Linked DNA regions of Stegostoma tigrinum. The protein of the gene in region 2 interacts with the protein of the main gene of each other region in a biochemical or structural test. Links are inferred from orthologs where the notes say so. Each region holds a gene or a part of one and is shown on either strand. Other genes may lie near its edges. The genes, in order: lnpep and poly [ADP-ribose] polymerase tankyrase-2-like.

Evidence for each region.
Region 1: the proteins of poly [ADP-ribose] polymerase tankyrase-2-like (region 2) and lnpep form a complex in vitro, tested with the Homo sapiens proteins (4 studies listed by BioGRID and IntAct, with this or other methods). The link is inferred for Stegostoma tigrinum from reciprocal best matches to the Homo sapiens genes TNKS2 and LNPEP.

What each region holds. Positions count from the first base shown.
Region 1 is NC_081356.1:87,374,136-87,383,099, forward strand, and holds the start of lnpep (leucyl-cystinyl aminopeptidase), read right to left. Parts: upstream 3,659-8,964; 5' UTR 3,117-3,658; coding exon 2,960-3,116; intron 1-2,959. UniProt on the Homo sapiens protein: Release of an N-terminal amino acid, cleaves before cysteine, leucine as well as other amino acids. Degrades peptide hormones such as oxytocin, vasopressin and angiotensin III, and plays a role in maintaining homeostasis during pregnancy.
Region 2 is NC_081373.1:43,618,501-43,627,883, forward strand, and holds the start of poly [ADP-ribose] polymerase tankyrase-2-like, read right to left. Parts: upstream 3,982-9,383; 5' UTR 3,858-3,981; coding exon 3,638-3,857; intron 1-3,637. UniProt on the Homo sapiens protein: Poly-ADP-ribosyltransferase involved in various processes such as Wnt signaling pathway, telomere length and vesicle trafficking.

The DNA.
Region 1 (8,964 bases), on a different chromosome or scaffold from region 2:
ACCCAACATATTTTAATAATTACAATCCAGAAAGTAAATTCTGTCTGTTCAGTTGAGTCTTTGCACTGCCTAACTTATGCTACAGTGGGGGAAGGGTATGAAAGGACAGGAAGAGAGACTCATCAATGCAAGGTTCGCAAATGGATATTGGAGGTTCAAAATAAAATCTGCATAATATAATGTCAAAATTAGTATACAATATTTGAGAGATAAAAGGACAATGGCAGGTTAATTTATTTTGAAGCTGTCAACTACACAAATTGTGGCAGAGCCAAGTTTAACCTTTTACAATCTTGCTGCTAGTCTTAGAATTGCACGGCTAAGAAAGGGCTAAGTGTGTCCAAATTGTCAAGTCAGATTTTATGATCAATACAAGAGTTTTTTTCCCCCAAATCTTCCCCATTTTTCTCTCTAAAAACATAAGGCCATGTGTGCTTTCCTGCTTTCAATGCAATTCTGGCTGACCTCTGTCTCAATTCCATTTTCCTGCCCGCTTGTCACTTTCCTTAATTCCTGAAATGATCAGTAATGTAATTATCTCATTATTGAGTATGTTTAAAGTGGATAATCCACAATCTTCGAAGTAGACACTTCCAAAAAATGGCAACCATTTGAGTGCATTTTGTCCTAATCTTTGTCCAAACTGATTAACTGATTGTCGGCGCTTTCCCAATGTTCTAAACTTCTTAGCCAAAGGAAACAACCTCTCAGTAAGCCAACTCCCCTCAGCAACTTGTGTGTTTCCATGATATCACCATTCATACTTTTAAACTTCTCAGCATATTCACCAAACTTATTCAACTATCACAGGATAATACTTTCATCCCAGAGACTAATCAAGTGAACTAACCCCATGAATTTCCACTGCCCGACTTCCAAGGCAATGCAGCCTTGCTTAGATATGGACACTAAGCTGTTCATACCACCAAAGGGGACAGGTCATCAATGGTCTCTAAATAATCTTTTGATAATTCTATTCTTAAATCCCAATTGGCTAATTGGTCTGTAGTTCTCTGTTTTTTCTCTTCTCTCCTTCCTTCAACTGAGATACCATATTTACAGTCACTCATCCATAAGAACTGTACTATAATCTAGGAAATTTTGCAGAATAATACTGTGTATCCATTATTTCTGAAACATCCTCTTTGAGAACTAGGAAAAAGACCATCAGATCCTGGGGGTTTGATGGAGTTAATCCGTCAATTTTATTCAATGCATTTTTTACTCCTGATGATTTCAATTTCCTGAAGTTCCACCAATGATCCCCTAAGTTATAACAAGGTGTGGAGATGGATGAACACAGCAGGCCAAGCAGCATCTAAGGAGCAGGAAAGCTGACATTTTGGGCCTACACCGAAGGGTCTAGGCCCGAAACATCAGCTTCCCCGCTCCTAAGATGCTGCTTGGCCTGCTCTGTTCTGAATAGCAATCTAAACAACTGAAATACGCATTTCGTCACGGCTTGAAATTGCATTTAAAAGGGTGAAATCTTGCGACAATGTTGTACTTTGTACCAAACAGGAATATTTGCCGACATTTTGTGCACTGTTCTTTAAGTGGCTCAGAAACCAAGCTAATACACTTGCATTAGCAATGAATCACACACAGCTGAAGAATTTGAAAGACCAGTGTCAGTAGGTTTATTAAATCACAGAAGTGAAACCCAGGCTGCAAACCTTGCAGAAATCAATGAAAAATAGACTAATAAATGGACGCGATCAATGCCATATCAAATAATTCCCATTCACTTGGCTGGATTAAATTTAATCAATATATTGCACATTTACTTCATGATTTTTTTAGCCAGCAGCATCTTCAAATAATTTATACAATTGAACGGTAACAACGCATTCCTAAAGACACCAAACAAATTTGATCTTCAAGCAGCCTTACTGTAGCAGATATCCTAAGGTGCTTCACTGGAGCATTATCACAACAAAAGTGACAGCCATATAAAGAAGGTCTTAGGTGAAAAGCTTAATGAAGAGAAATGTTTAAAAAGCACCTTAAAGATTAAGCAGAAAAGTGTAGGATTTTCTTTCCTAAGTCTGTGATTTTTCATCAGAATTGGGCAATGTTAGAAATGTAACATTTTTTGAGGAAATTAACATGACGGTGGAACGCAATGAACGAAAGGTGAGGTCTGCAACAGGGTGGAGTGTGAGAGAGATTGAATAATAAAGAGGCTCATGGTGTAAGGCCATGACTAGTGGTGAGACAAGTCAAAACAAAAAGAAACAAAGCATATGTCTAGAAGCATGATTGACATGATCATGAACAGTTGCCACCCAAAAGCAGAGAAGGAACAAAAACAAAGCAAAGGAGAGAAAACTTAGGGCCAAGAGAGACTGAAAGCAGTCACTAATGGTGGAGGGTTAAAATTTGCATTAACAAAAAGCAACAACTGGAGAAATTGAGGGCTTGTCATTGGAAGAGGTTACAATGAGAAAGACAATGAAGGTGAGATTTGAGAATAAGATTAAAATTTAAAAATTAAGGCATTGCCTAACTGGGTGCCAATGTCAACAAATAGCACAGCTGTGATAGGTGAGCAGGGCTTATTGTACATCAAGACACATGCAAAAGAGAACACAGAATGACCTGGAGTTTACAGAGAATGGAAGATGAGAGGCTAACCTAAGAATGTGTTGGAATAGTCTACTTTAAAAGGTAATAAAAAACAGAAATGAATCACAGAGTCATAGAGATCTACAGCATGGAAAAAGACCCTTCAGCTCATCGAGTCTGTGCCAGTCAAAAACAACCATCTAACTATTCTAATTCTGTTTTCCAGCACTTGGCTCATAGCCTGGTGTGCCTTGGCTTCACAACTGCACACCTAAATACTTCTTAAATATTATGAGCAGTTCTGCTCTACTGCCTTTATAGGCTGCAAGTTGCATATGCTCACCACTCTCTGGGTGAAAATGCTTTTCCTCGCATCTCCTCTAAATCTTACCATAAATCCATAACCCCTGGTCACTGATCCCTCCATCAAAGGGAAAGGTTTCTTCCGGTTTTTTCTGCCTTAGCCTCTCATAATTTATGTTTCCTCTGAATCTCCTGGGCTCTAAGGAAAACAACCCCTGTCCATCCAAGATAGTAGGAACTGCCATTGCTGGAGTCTGAGATAACAAGGTAACACCCTTCTTCTAAAGGGTCCAGACCCGAAATGTCAGCTTTCCTGCTACTCTGATGCTGTCTAGCCTGCTGCGTTCATCCAGGTCCACACCTTGTCATCTCTGTCTATCCAATCTTTCTTGATAAGTGAAAATCTCTAGCCTTCTTGTAAATTTTCTCTGCACCCTCTTGGGCATATTCGAGCATTAGCTGTCCTCCGGTCCTCTGGACGAGGCTTTGAAAAGACAGCCATTTGACATCTGCAGAGTTGTGGATTTGGGCAATTATGCAGGTAGGCATAGTAAATCTTAATTTTTGTGAGGATGTAGATATGTGATCAGAAGCTTACCCTGGGGTTAAATGTCACACCAAGGTTGAAAGGTGTGGTTGGTTCAATTTTAGGCAGTTGTAAATGAGAGGGATAGAGTCAGAAGTTAGGGGGGAAAAAAAACGTTGTGGCATGGACTGTAGGCAATAACTTCAGCCTTCTCACAAGTTCATCATTAAAGCACACTCCCCCAAATAAATGTGCTCTTAAAACATGCCATTGGCAGCAATATTAATTCAAAGACAATCAGATTTTTGAATGCTGGCAAACAAGATAAAAAGAATTTACAAAGTAATTTAAATGTATGTTAATAATCAAACAATGGCAGTATACCAAAGCAGCAGGAATGCGGGCAAGATCTCAATTTATATTCATGCATGTCCGTTTAATTTCTTTTTAGCCAAGTCATCAAGAATAATTGGGTTTTTCATCTTGTTACAGCATTTTTATCCAAATGCAAATCATATTCACCATTTCTAAAACAAAATTTCCTTTGTAGTTAGTTCTCTCGGCTTTTCTCTGCCTGGAGACAAGACGTAAGGTTTAAATGCCAAGTTCAGAGATGGTCAATACTTGATCAATCATACTGGCCATTAAAAACACATCTGTTTGTTAAACAACATACACAATACAATGTTCACGGACTTACAAAACAAAAATTGTTTCCAGACTCATACACAATGCAAATCAGTAGTTGCGCATACAAAACTGAAGAAAGGGCAACAATAGATGTTGACAAATCAGTAACAGCACACATGAATAGGAAACCTAAAAATAAACAAATAGCACGGTAAGAAAACCCCAAAATAGCTGGAAACAAAATCATCTCAATATTGTACCCATATCATCAGTTTATGTATATAATAGATGAAGCCACAAAGCACAAATTAACATCTTCTAAGGCACAAATTGACCTTCAAGCACAACACAGAAATAAAGAGCAAGACCACAGACGGATCAAAAATGAGGAGAATTTTAAACAAAAAGCTGTTGCAGGACTGAAACAGTGCAAATCAGCAAACTTAAATTTAGCTAAAAGCAGGAATATTGTTTAAAATATTCTTTTATTGTAGGTGAAACCTGAAGTTTACATACTGAATAACGACAAACAAAACACAGGAGCTGAAAGATTTTTCAAGAGATTATTTTGCAGTAATTTTATTGATCTGACTTGCTTCTGTCATTATTAGATTTTATGTGTTCGATTCATTGCTTCCACCCATCCTCAGTCCTGGACAGAAATGATGGCATCAGACACCATTCACATTTGGTGTTTACGCACCGTCAGTTGGCTGTTTAAGGGAGATAAAATGTGAGCCAATCAGGTGCAAGTGTGACAAAAATAGGAATGTACGATACATCTAAGGCTAGGGGACTGCCAGATACGAAGTCAAAAAAGAGGCCAACATTTTACCAGATTGTGTTTCTTCAGCTTCCAGTAAGATCCTCTTCTCACACTTCAATCATGCAATTTGCTGGAGCTTGGCTGAGCAGACTGGATGTTGCACCAATGTACACGAACGGAAACTACACCAAGGTGCATTACTTATGGATTCTATTAATTTTCTACTACAAGTTTTATAATTCTTGTTCAAAGTTTTAAGAATTTGAATTTTTAAATTGAAAAAAAAACTATCGTGAAAACTTACAATTCATGACCACAAGTAGACAGGAATATTGCACACTTTGGGACTTGGATAAGCACGACAGCTGCTTTCATAGCGAGGGTGCGGCCCATCAATCATAAATAGTGCAAGCAAACTGTCCTCCCTCCAAACACAATGCCATCTGAACTCATAAGCCATCATTTTGAATAAGGAATCACAAATGAAAGGAACTGTTGCGAACTGAAAAATCAGCTTTTCTTAAATCACGTGAAAATTATTGCATTAGACTTCTAATACTGTTATTGCTCGATTTAGTCGTGAAAAGATCAAATTGAAAGTCTTCATTTAGTTGCAATATTGTCAGCAAAATTTACATATTGTATAATTGTGAGCTATTGCTTCCGTCATTCAAATCACAGAATAAATGGTTGGGATGATATCCAAACTCATTTTAAGAGCTTCCACAAATACAAACTCTTTGTAACTTGCAGTTTTTCCATGGGATTTTATAAGGTTAATTATGGCCAAAATTTAAATTTCCCTTTACTATACACAAATGCAGACTCGCAAGACTTGCAAGTCAGAAATGGAGAATGTTTTGCAACATGAATGGTCAATCGTAGTTATGATTCGGAACGGCTGGCAGAAAGACGTAAAACGAGAAGCAGGAGTTAGTTTTAAACAGCATTGGAAATAACGTTTATGAAACCTTCCACAGAAGCAGGCGGTTGCATTATAAAATACCACCATAAAAGAGCCGTCCCAGCAATAACAGATATGGAATACAAGAAGATAGAAAGAACTTGCAAAAAAAAGTTCAAGTCTGTAACAAAGGAGTCTTTCAGTTAATGTCTGCAGGTCAAAAACCACCTACATGAAGTGACTTTCTGAACAGATTTCTGCCCTACATTTATTACACCTGTGTGTAACTGTAGACGTGAACCACCCCGGCTCCAAGAAATCCCGTTTGTTCCAGAGGTTGGAGGTAAACTCCCATTGAAAGGGAAAGCGTGGGATGGCGGTTAAGGGAAAGGTTGGAACCAGTCAGGAAAGTGGGAATGGAGTGATTTATCTACGTGCATCAGCTTGTCCCTAAAAGAACGTGAAATGAGGGCGTTAAACAGACTTCACGTACGGTGGAAAAATAAACAGACAGATCAATGCCCGAGTCGAGCATCAAAATGAATTGCCTGTGTTCCCCAATTGAAAAGCAAAATTAGATTTCACAGTATCAGCTTTGAGACTGGATGATGCATGTTTGTCTGCCCTTTCAAATATTTCCATGGGGTCCTTCGCCCAACAGTTTGCTACTAACTTTGTGACATTTCTTACCCACCTATTGATACAAAGACGATGTCACAAATCGGCAGACAACACTGAGCCTGGTGTACTCACCGCTCTGAAAACCTGGCTCCATGGCTGTGCCTGTGGCCTTCCGCTCTTAATCCCGATCCTTCTCAGCAAACCCAGGCACGCAGTATTGGAGACTGTGGCAACGATATAAACAAGCCGCCCGTACTACAACACCTACTGACTACAGCAATAAATACATCCTGACTGGGCCAGCTGAAATGTCACCTACTCTTTCCTTGAGGACATTTTTAAATGTACAAGGCCTCCTGAACGACCAGGCAACTCTTCCTTATGTGGTCATCTTTGCAAATCTCACAGTTTAAGAAAGACAGCCAGATGTCGACCATCTTAACTTGTATTTCCTTCCTCTTCTGCACTTGCAAGCTGTTCCTCCTCCAGGCGCTGTAGGTCGATCGACGAGCTACATACTGCAGAGCGACCTGTGGTTTGCAGACGCGGTTTTCTATTTGTTGTAATCTGTCGAAGTAAACACGGTCCTGCTGTTGGGAGCTACACTCTGCGCCAGCCTTTCTAGCTATTGTGATTCAAACATGTTGACTGCGGGGAGCTTGTTGGTTCTTCCCCAACCTCGCTTTTATTTGGGTTGCTCCGGCTGTTTGCATGTTGCTGTTTCATAGTGGTTAGCTATGAATTTACCCAACTACACAAAATATGAAGCTTCACTCTGACCTTGCCTGACTTCACTGGCGATCTATAATTCCTGGCTGTTTTACATCAAAAGATTTGCAGCATATTCATGAACCCTCGATCTTCTTTGTTCTACACCGCTGAACACCACATCGTGCATCAGAGTCAAAATTATTAAAAGGCAAATCTTGCAGTAATCAAATGTATTATACAAGTGCTCTTGTATGTTTTACATAATTTGTAAAGTTCTCCAAGAAAGTCTCAAAAAGACCGGATTCGGAATTACAGTCACCAATATTACCAACCATAGACTTCTCATACTAATATTCTAACGCATGTCTTCCATACTCGAATGTTTTCATTTTCAGATACTTTGCAAGGCAGCAAGTTGTTAGGAAGAAAGAGTTCAGAATCAGGAATGTCAAACAATAAAGTGTGGATAAATCAAAAATGGAATGAAACAAACAGGAAGATACTTCATGCTAAAAAGTGAACTTTACATTTCTAAAGCTAAAAGAGGTAGGTTTTAATGATCTGAGAGTAGACTATTTCCTAAGGAACAGTGACTATGAACATGGTAAAATTTAACATTCAGTTTGTGAGTGAGAAGTTTGGGTTGGAGACAACTGTGCTAAACTGGTACATGTACTTACAAAGGAATGAGCATGTGCCCACATTTCTCAGAAGGTCATCAGATCATGTAGAGTTTCATGGGAACATTGGAAAACTTTCCAAAACAGGATGCAAGAGTGGAAGGATAAACACATGACAACCATAATTTTTAAAGCAGGAGATGAAATTTTGGTACCATTGACTTTGCAAAGTTAGTCATTTAAAGCAAAATTCAATCGTCCCTATGAAATAATTAAAAGGATTAGTGACATAACATATTAAATTGATACTCCAGATCATAGGGAAAAAATCGATTATCATATGAAGATGTTAAAATGACACCAGTAGAGAAGGCAATGAGAATGTACAGAAGTGTGAAGTACCAAGTGCAGTAGAGGAAGAAATAAGAAGAGCCAAAGAGAATTGGAGAAATTGCAAAAAGAACTTTCTCCTATGAGATTAATACATTTGGAGATATTAGAGAATTTAGACACTGTATTTTCATATCTGGAGACAGACCGACAGAGACATAAAGTGAGATTCCTCAAAAAATACAAAGCAGTTTATGATGAAAAATTGGCTGTACCACATGCTGAGGCGAGTAACTCACCTTCTGACTCCTGAAAGCCTGTCCACCATCAATAAGGCACAAGTCAGGAGTGTGATGGAATAATCCCAACTTGCCTGGATGAGTGCAGCCCCAACAATGCTCAAGAAGTTTGAAACCACTTAGGACAAATCAGCCCGCTTGATTGGCACTGTATCCACAAACATCCACTCCCTCCACCACCAACACTTAGTAGCTGCAGCATGTGACTATCTACAAGATACAATGCAGAAATTTAAAGATGCCCAGACTGCACCATCTGAATCGACAACAACCCATCTAGAAAATCAAGGGCAGCAGGTATATGGGAACACCACCCCCTCCAAGCCACTCACCATTCTGACTGGGAAATCTTTTGGCACTTCTTTACTAGCGCTGGGTCAAAATCCTGGAATTCTCTCCCTCATAGCACTGTGGGTCAACCCACAGCAGGACGACTGCAGCGGTTCGAGAAGGCAGCTCACCATCACCTTCTCAAGGCCAACTAGGAATGGACCAGAAATGCTGGCCCGCCAGCCTCAGCCACATCCCACAAAATGAATAAGTTAAAAAATGTTGGAGTTTGTGAGGTTATACACTTTGAAAGGAAGAATAGAGGAGTTGAACATTATTTAAATGGTGAAAGACTGCAGAAAGCTGCAGCATAGAGAGATTTGAGAATCCACAAACATCAATCACAAAAAAAAGCA
Region 2 (9,383 bases):
TGTCACCATCTAATTCTATGACTGTAATGGAGCATGTTTGCACATCCTAGCCTGCCAGAGCCAAGGGATGAAAATCAATTGGCTACTTCACCTGTCACAGCATTGCCTTAATGCACTGTTATACAAAACAATTCTCAGACAGGGTATCTGAAATTCTCTGTCATCTGATGATCCTATTAAATACCTCCCCAGTTTCACACTTAATTGATTTTCTCCTCTGGTAATCTATCATTTCCCATTCTTCATCCTTTTATGTATGCAGTGGGATTGAGGCCCCATAATGTGGAGAACTACACACTGCATCAGGTACTGCACTTTTACACATTGTAATGAGCAGCCAGCCATCACAGACTACCGGAACACCAACACCACCCTCACCGCAGCTGCTGCCGCCCACCCCGATCCTCCAACGGCCGACGGAACCCCGCCCACACCGCAGCTGCTGCCGCCCACCCCGATCCGCCCACGGCCGACGGCCTCATCGCTCCGCCCACAACCTCCACAGCCAGCAACCCCAGAGAAGACAGCCACACTGAGCCCTGCCGCATCTTCACCATCCCCCCAGACCTCCCACTGACTGAGGACGAACGGTCAGTCCTTAGTAAGGGGCTCACCTTTGTCCCCCTACAACCACACATCAACGAATACCAGTCACGGTTGGACATAGAGCAGTTTTTCCGCCGTCTTCGCCTCCATGCCTACTTCTTCAACCGGGAACCTAACCCTCCTTCCACTGACCCCTTCACCCGCTTCCAACACAAGTCCTCCTCCTGGACACCACCCCCAGGCCTCCTACCCTCCCTCGACCTCTTCATCTCCAACTGCCGTCGAGACATTAACCGCCTCAACCTCTCCACCCCTCTCACCCACTCCAACCTCTCCCCCGCAGAACGGGCAGCCCTCCGCTCCAACCCCAAACTCACCATCAAACCCGCAGACAAAGGTGGCGCAGTGGTAGTATGGCGCACTGACCTCTACATCGCCGAGGCCAGACGCCAACTCTCCGACACCACTTCCTACCGCCCCCTCGATCATGACCCCACACCCGAGCACCAAACCATCATCTCCAACACCATTCACGACCTCATCACCTCAGGGGACCTCCCACCCACAGCCTCCAACCTCATTGTTCCCCAACCCGGCACGGCCCGTTTCTATCTCCTTCCCAAAATCCACAAACCTGCCTGCCCTGGTCGACCCATCGTCTCAGCCTGCTCCTGCCCCACCGAACTCATCTCCACCTTTCTGGACTCCATTTTCTCCCCTTTGGTCCAGGAACTCCCCACCTACGTCCGTGACACCACCCACGCCCTCCACCTCCTCCAGGACTTCCAATTCCCTGGCCCCGAACACCTCATATTCACCATGGACGTCCAGTCCCTGTACACCTGCATTCCGCATGGAGATGGCCTCAAGGCCCTCCGCTTCTTCCTGTCCCACAGGCCCGACCAGTCCCCCTCCACCGACACTCTCATCCGCCTAGCTGAACTTGTCCTCACACTCAACAACTTCTCTTTTGACTCCTCCCACTTCCTACAGACTAAGGGGGTGGTCATGGGCACCCGCATGGGCCCCAGCTATGCCTGCCTCTTTGTAGGTTACGTGGAACAGTCCCTCTTCCGTGCCTACACAGGCCCCAAACCCCACCTCTTCCTCCGGTACATTGATGACTGTATCGGTGCCGCCTCTTGCTCCCCAGAGGAGCTCGAACAGTTCATCCACTTCACCAACACCTTCCACCCCAACCTTCAGTTCACCTGGGCCATCTCTAGCACATCCCTCACCTTCCTGGATATCTCAGTCTCCATCTCAGGCAACCAGCTTGTAACTGATGTCCATTTCAAGCCCACCGACTCCCACAGCTACCTAGAATACACCTCCTCCCACCCACCCTACTGCAAAAATTCCATCCCCTATTCCCAATTCCTCCGCCTCCGCCGCATCTGCTCCCACAATAAGACATTCCACTCCCGCACATCCCAGATGTCCAAGTTCTTTAAGGACCGCAACTTTCCCCCCACAGTGATCGAGAACGCCCTTGACCGCGTCTCCCGTATTTCCCGCAACACATCCCTCACACCCCGCCCCCGCCACAACCGCCCTAAGAGGATCCCCCTCGTTCTCACAAACCACCCTACCAACCTCCAGATACAACGCATCATCCTCCGACACTTCCGCCATTTACAATCCGACCCCACCACCATAGACATTTTTCCATCCCCACCCCTGTCTGCTTTCCGGAGAGACCACTCTCTCCGTGACTCCCTTGTTCGCTCCACACTGCCCTCCAACCCCACCACACCCGGCACCTTCCCCTGCAACCGCAGGAAATGCTACACTTGCCCCCACACCTCCTCCCTCACCCCTATCCCAGGCTCCAAGATGACATTCCACATTAAGCAGAGGTTCACCTGCACATCTGCCAATGTGGTATACTGCATCCACTGTACCCGGTGCAGCTTCCTCTACATTGGGGAAACCAAGCGGAGGCTTGGGGACCGCTTTGCAGAACACCTCCGCTCAGTTCGCAACAAACAACTGCACCTCCCAGTCGCAAACCATTTCCACTCCCCCTCCCATTCTCTAGATGACATGTCCATCATGGGCCTCCTGCACTGCCACAATGATGCCACCCGACGGTTGCAGGAACAGCAACTCATATTCCGCCTGGGAACCCTGCAGCCATATGGTATCAATGTGGACTTCACCAGTTTCAAAATCTCCCCTTCCCCTACTGCATCCCTAAACCAGCCCAGTTCGTCCCCTCCCCCCACTGCACCACACAGCCAGCCCAGCTCTGTCCGCCCACCCACTGCATCCCAAAACCAGTCCAACCTGTCTCTGCCTCCCCAACCGGTTCTTCCTCTCACCCATCCCTTCCTCCCACCCCAAGCCACACCCCCATCTACCTACTAACCTCATCCCACCTCCTTGACCTGTCCGTCTTCCCTGGACTGACCTATCCCCTCCCTACCTCCCCACCTATACTCTCTCCACCTATCTTCTTTACTCTCCATCTTCGGTCCGCCTCCCCCTCTCTCCCTATTTATTCCAGTTCCCTCTCCCCAGCCCCCTCTCTGATGAAGGGTCTAGGCCCGAAACGTCAGCTTTTGTGCTCCTGAGATGCTGCTTGGCCTGCTGTGTTCATCCAGCCTCACATTTTATTATCTCGGAACACCAAGGGATTGCAGCCCTTTCTGGTTATGTATTTTTGATATTGTATCCGGAATAGAAAGCAGGTTCTTGTGTGGGATCTTGGGACTGCTGTATTACCTGTCTAGTTGTCTTGGGACTGTCTGGTGGTCAATCATCCCCTACCTGCAGTATGACTGGCTTAATAGAGTGGTAATGAAGCAAAAAACAAAAATTTTGCAAGTGGTATGAATGGCGGAATGATGAACAGTCGCAAATCAACATCCACAAAAAATTACATTTTGAAACTTCTGCACCAAGTTCACTTGCGGACTTGGGGCGAATCCACACAAACAGACAATATCTGATCGACGTGCAAAAAAGAAAGCAAACGGAAAATAAAAGAAAATAGCAACTTCACGTTTCAGCAAATGAATACGGGCCTCGACCGAGGCCGCCATACCGTGCTGCGGAGGGAGGGGTGCAGAGCACGGTTTTAACTTACCCGCAGCAAAATGCAAAGGGGTCGACTTGCGCCCTGCCGTGTCCCTGGCGTTCACATTGTCAGCCCTTAGCAGTCTCCTCACCCGGACCACATCCCCGTTCCTGCAACTCTCGAACAGCACTCTGGTCGGGTCAGGATGAGCTGATATCGAAGTCGATCGATGCTCCCCCGAGCTGGAGGAAGAGGAACCTGCCACTCCGGGGCAGCGACGAGACGCCATGGAAGCAGGTAAAGGGAGACGTGATGTTCTGCGCCCCACCCCCCACCACAAACCATCAGCAGGAGCAGCTCGAGCTCCCCCCCAGCCTTTTGTCCCGCGCGCAAGCAACGGCCAGCGTCACGTGAGCATAGCCGGCGACTGCTAAGGAAAGACGCATGTGCAGTTTTACCATCTCTCGGATGGAGGGGACAGCAAGTTATTATGTTCAGGTAAGAGTTCCCGTTCCTTCTCAGAAGTAGAAAGCAAGTGAATCGTAATTGGTTTCTGAAGGTAGCCTTATTCAAAAACGATATCCCGACCTATGATTTTAAGGGCACACCTGAGATTGCAGTTCGTAGATAGGCAGGTGGAGGGAAGCAAAGTTAACTCTTTACGAGCCTTCATCCTTTGATAATACCATGCACAACCATTTCCGGAAAGATATACCAGGTTCTCACCTTTTTGTTAAGCAACTGTTCGTTAAACTCTAATGATCTTCTATGATCAGCCATGATCATATCAAATAGCAAAGCAGGCTCAAGGCGCTGGGTTGCCTGCTCCTAGTTCTTATGTTTTTTTTCCCGCCTATCTACTCCTATCTTAAATTCCACCCGTACTGTGCTGTTTATACCGTTGTAGGAAGCAACTCCGTGACATCATTGTGAGGTTGCTCCATGGTCCTAAAGCTCTGCCTACAACTGATGGTTAGTTAACTGGAATATTCAAGGGTATGGGGAATTAACATGGAGGAGGATGGCACATTGTCGTAACACTCATTCAGAGAACAGGTGCAGACACGATGAGCCAAATGATCACCTTCCTCCTACGCCGTAATCGTGAGATTCAGTTACTTTTTGAAAGCCATGATCTTGATAAAAGTATTGGGCAACGTTAAAGAGTCATATTGTATTCAAACATTAGCCCTGTTTCATATTTCCACAGATGCTGCTGGACCAATGGGGTCTTTCCTTTGTTTTTATTTCAGATCTTCAGAGCATGCTCAGTTCTTTTGTTCCTATTATTGTTGTAGCTCTTTTATTGTTAATTAAAACACAAAGCTGTTATGACACTCACTTGAATGTACATGCACTAAGAAGTGATATCATCCCCCTAAAATTTCTCAATTGAAATTACACGCTTTTATGTAATATCTTGCACATTAGTCACAAATTATCCTGAAATTATGCCAAATCTGTCTACAAACTGTAATGTGAACAAATAATTTGATTTCACTTAAGAGTTAAATTACAGCAATACCCTCCCTTCCCCTTGGAAATTACAGTGCAGTACAGTCTGCCCTGGAACCATTATGTGAGAGTTTGTAGATATTGAGACTGATCCGGAAAGCCAGATTTGCAGTAAACACCACTGTTTTGATGCACAACTCAAAATCCTTTGATTTCAAGATATTTCAATACATAAGATGGTAGGAATTTCTGGTTAGTTTTTGCCTGGAATACAATCACAACTTTGATGTGCAAAAGAAGGTGAGAGTCAGACTGTTACAAATGTAGAAATTGCTGCAGAAACTCAGCAGACCTAGCAGCATCTGTAGATAAAAAGCAAAGTTAACATTTTAGGTCCAGTGACCCTTCTTCAGGAAGATGTTTCTCCAGCAGTTTTGGTGTATGTATCAGACTTCCAGCATTCCTTTTGTTGTTTTTGAGCATCTCACTACGCACAGTGGCAGTATTGTGGCCAATGGGGTTTAACCAAGGTGCGATTATTGCTTATTGAAAACCGCTAGCAGAGTAAGGTCAACTAGGGGGAGATAGAGGAGGAGATCCTGCAGACACTGTTCTGTCCAACAGGTACAATGTACTTGATATTTGTTAGGGTAAGCAAAAAGACTTGGGGAAAGAAGTCACAGTGCTGACTTCGGCACCATGGAGCAGCAAGGTGTTCAAGATGCAGTTTGAGGGAGGCAAGGTAGGAGGACCAGAATAGGAAAAATGTACTTCTAGAGGACTCACTCGTTAGAAAGATGGTTGGCATCTTCAGTGGTTACGATTGAGAACCTCAGCAGGAGAAATCTCAGTGTGGCTGGAAATGATCAGATCTAATGATAACAGGGAAGAAATGGAGTAATTTCTCTTGATGGAATATTAGGAGTTAGGAGATAACCTAGAAGTCAATGGCTCAACTGTGATGATCTCAGGAATATTACACAAGCCATTTACTAGCTGTCAGAGGGCAAGAAAGAGCTGGAAGATAATCATGTGACTAAGGGTGCAGAAAGCGAAGTAGTTGCGGTGATTGGCAGTCAATCATCACAGCCCCAATGACCATTTCTAACAAGAGAAAATTCAACCATAACCTTTGACCTTCAATGGCATTGCCATTGCTGAATTGCACATGATCAACATTGTGGGAGTTACCATTTGACCAGAAACTGGTGGCAGCAGTTTGTGTCATTGACAGATGCAATGCAACTATAACAACTCATCAAGTATCCTCACATTACACTTTGCAAATGCATGACCACTACCATCTAGAAGGTTGAGAGCAGCAGATACACAGAAACAGCACCACCTGCATGTTACCAAATAGTTAGAAATGGACAGTAAATGCTGGCCGAGTCAGTGACAGTGACCCTTATTTTCTAATTAAATGTAAAATAACCTAAAAGGGTGGTGTGAGGTGGCGTGGAATTTTGCAGGGTTCTGGCAGCATTACAGAGACAGCAGTAATGTACCACTGAGAATTGTTCTGAACAGAAAAGAGAATTAGTGTGAGAAAGGGACTTTACAATAATAAATGAAGGAAAGGTGCAGTCAGAGACAATAATAAAAATGTAACTTTAAAATGGAATAACATTATAATTAAAGGAACAAATATGATACAGATATTCCAAGTGAAGGGATTACTGAAGTAACTAATTATTACAGGAAAATTGTCATATGGGAACCTTGTTACAATGTGAGAAAGACAGGATCACAGTGAAATGACAAGTCATGGTCCCTTGTCAAAACAACAGTTCTGTTTACTAATGAGAAGATACCAAAAACTGCAGATGCTGATGTCAGTCAACATAGTGTGTGCTGCTGTATAAACAAGTGTATGAACAAAAGAGATATAGCAGGTGATGTCATTATGAATAGTTGGCTGAGTTCTAACAATGGCTAATGCACCTAGGGCATTATACAACTGCAGAGGTAAGGGAATTTGTTGCTTGATTGATATTTCTGTTACCTTCTAAGGGTCTGCTGTGACTTTGAAGAGTATTTCGACTGCTTTTTTTTTAAATTCAGGATTATTTATATGCAGGATTAAAAGGTGTGGGTAAATAAAAATATCTGACTTTGAAACTAGATAGGACTGTGACTGATTATAGCTATATGAGATGTTAAGAGGCCAATATAGTTCAACATAAATATTGAATGCCCTTTTTTTCTGTTTTGATTACTTGAATCTGTTGTTCCCACTGGTTCACAATTTCTCTGAAGGGTTGTGAACCATGTCTATATGCCAGAGGGGTCCAACTTCATCGAAGTTGTGTTTGGGGAGTTGAACGGCACCCAATGAAGCCATCAGGGGAGGTGTTTCTACACAGAGGATTGCTACTGCATCCTTGTCCCACGTTGATGAAAACAGCTGGAAATGGAAATAGGAAGCTCAGAATCATATCCTGCCGACCATATTTACATAGCTCTCAAATCAGTCCAGTTTGGCAAAAATCCAGGCTCAGGTTGTACAACCAAGCATTGATTATGGCATGATTATTCGTTATCTCAGTACCTGCACTCTGTTCACATAATGATTGTTTTCTGAGCCTGCCCTGTCAGCAGGCATGTTGTTTGCTGTTAACACAAAATCTCAAAATGCCTGAAATTAGTATTCCATCAGATGTAGAAGCGAAGGACTTTCAATAGTCATGGAACCATTACGTATTATCTTAGGAAGCAGAAGAAAAGAGAAAGAAAATAACCTTTAAACTAGAAATCTACAATCACTGTACTTTCATTATTTTATTGGAAATGTCTCTGACACAATTGACCAGCATCAGGAGGAAGCAATAAAAAAAATCTCAAAGATAAGGTTTGAAATAAAACCTTCCACAACTTTTATTTTTCTTGCTAGAAGGTCCTCTATTTCTGTTATAACAATGGCTTTCACTAGAAAACACTGCTGTACTGTAGAATGTATTTTAATAATTGCTGCCTTTTAAATAAATGTACCGTAGCAACAATGATAAATTTAGGCCACTCCAATGCATATGATGATATCAACTGTGCGATGATAGGTGTCATGTTCTGACTTTGTACTTCTAGACAGACGTCTCTTATGCTGAGTGTGTAAATCAAAAATGTATTCGTGCACAGTGTTTCTTTTCTGACAACCTAATATTCGGGTCTGTGATTGTTTCCTTGGTAATGTTTATTGATTGCTCACTTTTCTATGAATTGAATTGTACTTTAGAGGAAAAAAACCTGGAATTTTTTGAGCTAATCAGGATCATTTTAACCCTATTTTACCTCAAACTGAGTTATGTAGAAGGGCTGTTCTGATGAAGAGTCACCAGACATGAATCATTAACTCTGCTTTCTCCGCACATATTCAGCCAGTCCTGCTGAGTTGTGCCAGCAATTTCTGTTTTTATTTCAGATAGTCATAGAGTCTCACAGCATAAAGACAGACCCTTCCACCCAACTCGTCCATTCCAACCAGACTTCTCAAACTGACCAAGCTCCATTTGCCAGCATTTGGTCCATATCCCTCTAAACCCTTCCTGTTCACATACTCCTTCAGATGCCTTTTAAATGTTGTAACTGTACCAACCTCCCCTTCTTCTTCTGGCAGCGCATTCCATACATGCGCCATCCTCTGTGTCAAAAGGTTACCTGACAAGTCCTTTCTAAATTTACAGTCTCTCACCTTAAACCTATACCTTCTAGATTTGGACTCCCCTAACCTTGGAAAAAGACATTGGCAATTCACTCTATCCATTCTCCTCAAGATTTGAGGCTCCGGGGAAAAAACCCAGTCTGTACAGCCTTTCCCTATGATTCAGACCCTCCGTCCCAGCAACATCCTTGTAAATGTTTTCTGCATCCTGTTAAGTTTAATAACATCCTTTCTGTGGCAGAGCGACCAGAATTGTACACAATATTCTGAAGTGGTCTCACCAATGTTCTGTACAGCCCACAACATGATGTCCCAACCCCAATACTCAATCTTCTGACCAATGAAGGCAAGTGTACCAAATGCCTCCTTCATCACCCTGTCTACCAACTATTCCATTTTCAAATGCCTCCTTCAGATGTTCCAGGGATAGGGACAGCATTGAATGGAATACAGACTAAAGCACACTGTACTCGTTTGAAACAGAAGGCATGCTTTCTTGTCTTTGTTGAATGAAAATGGGGAAAGCAAAAATAAATGAGAAATGGCTCTCCCTTCACTCCGTCCCCACTATTTTCTCCTAGGACAAGAAGAGACCAAAATATAAAACATACTTTGCTCAACTCAGTTGAAATCAGATTTCTGCTCTGGGCCCATCGAAAGCAATCAGGACAAGGACAATGGGGTTTCAAAATCCAGTGGAAA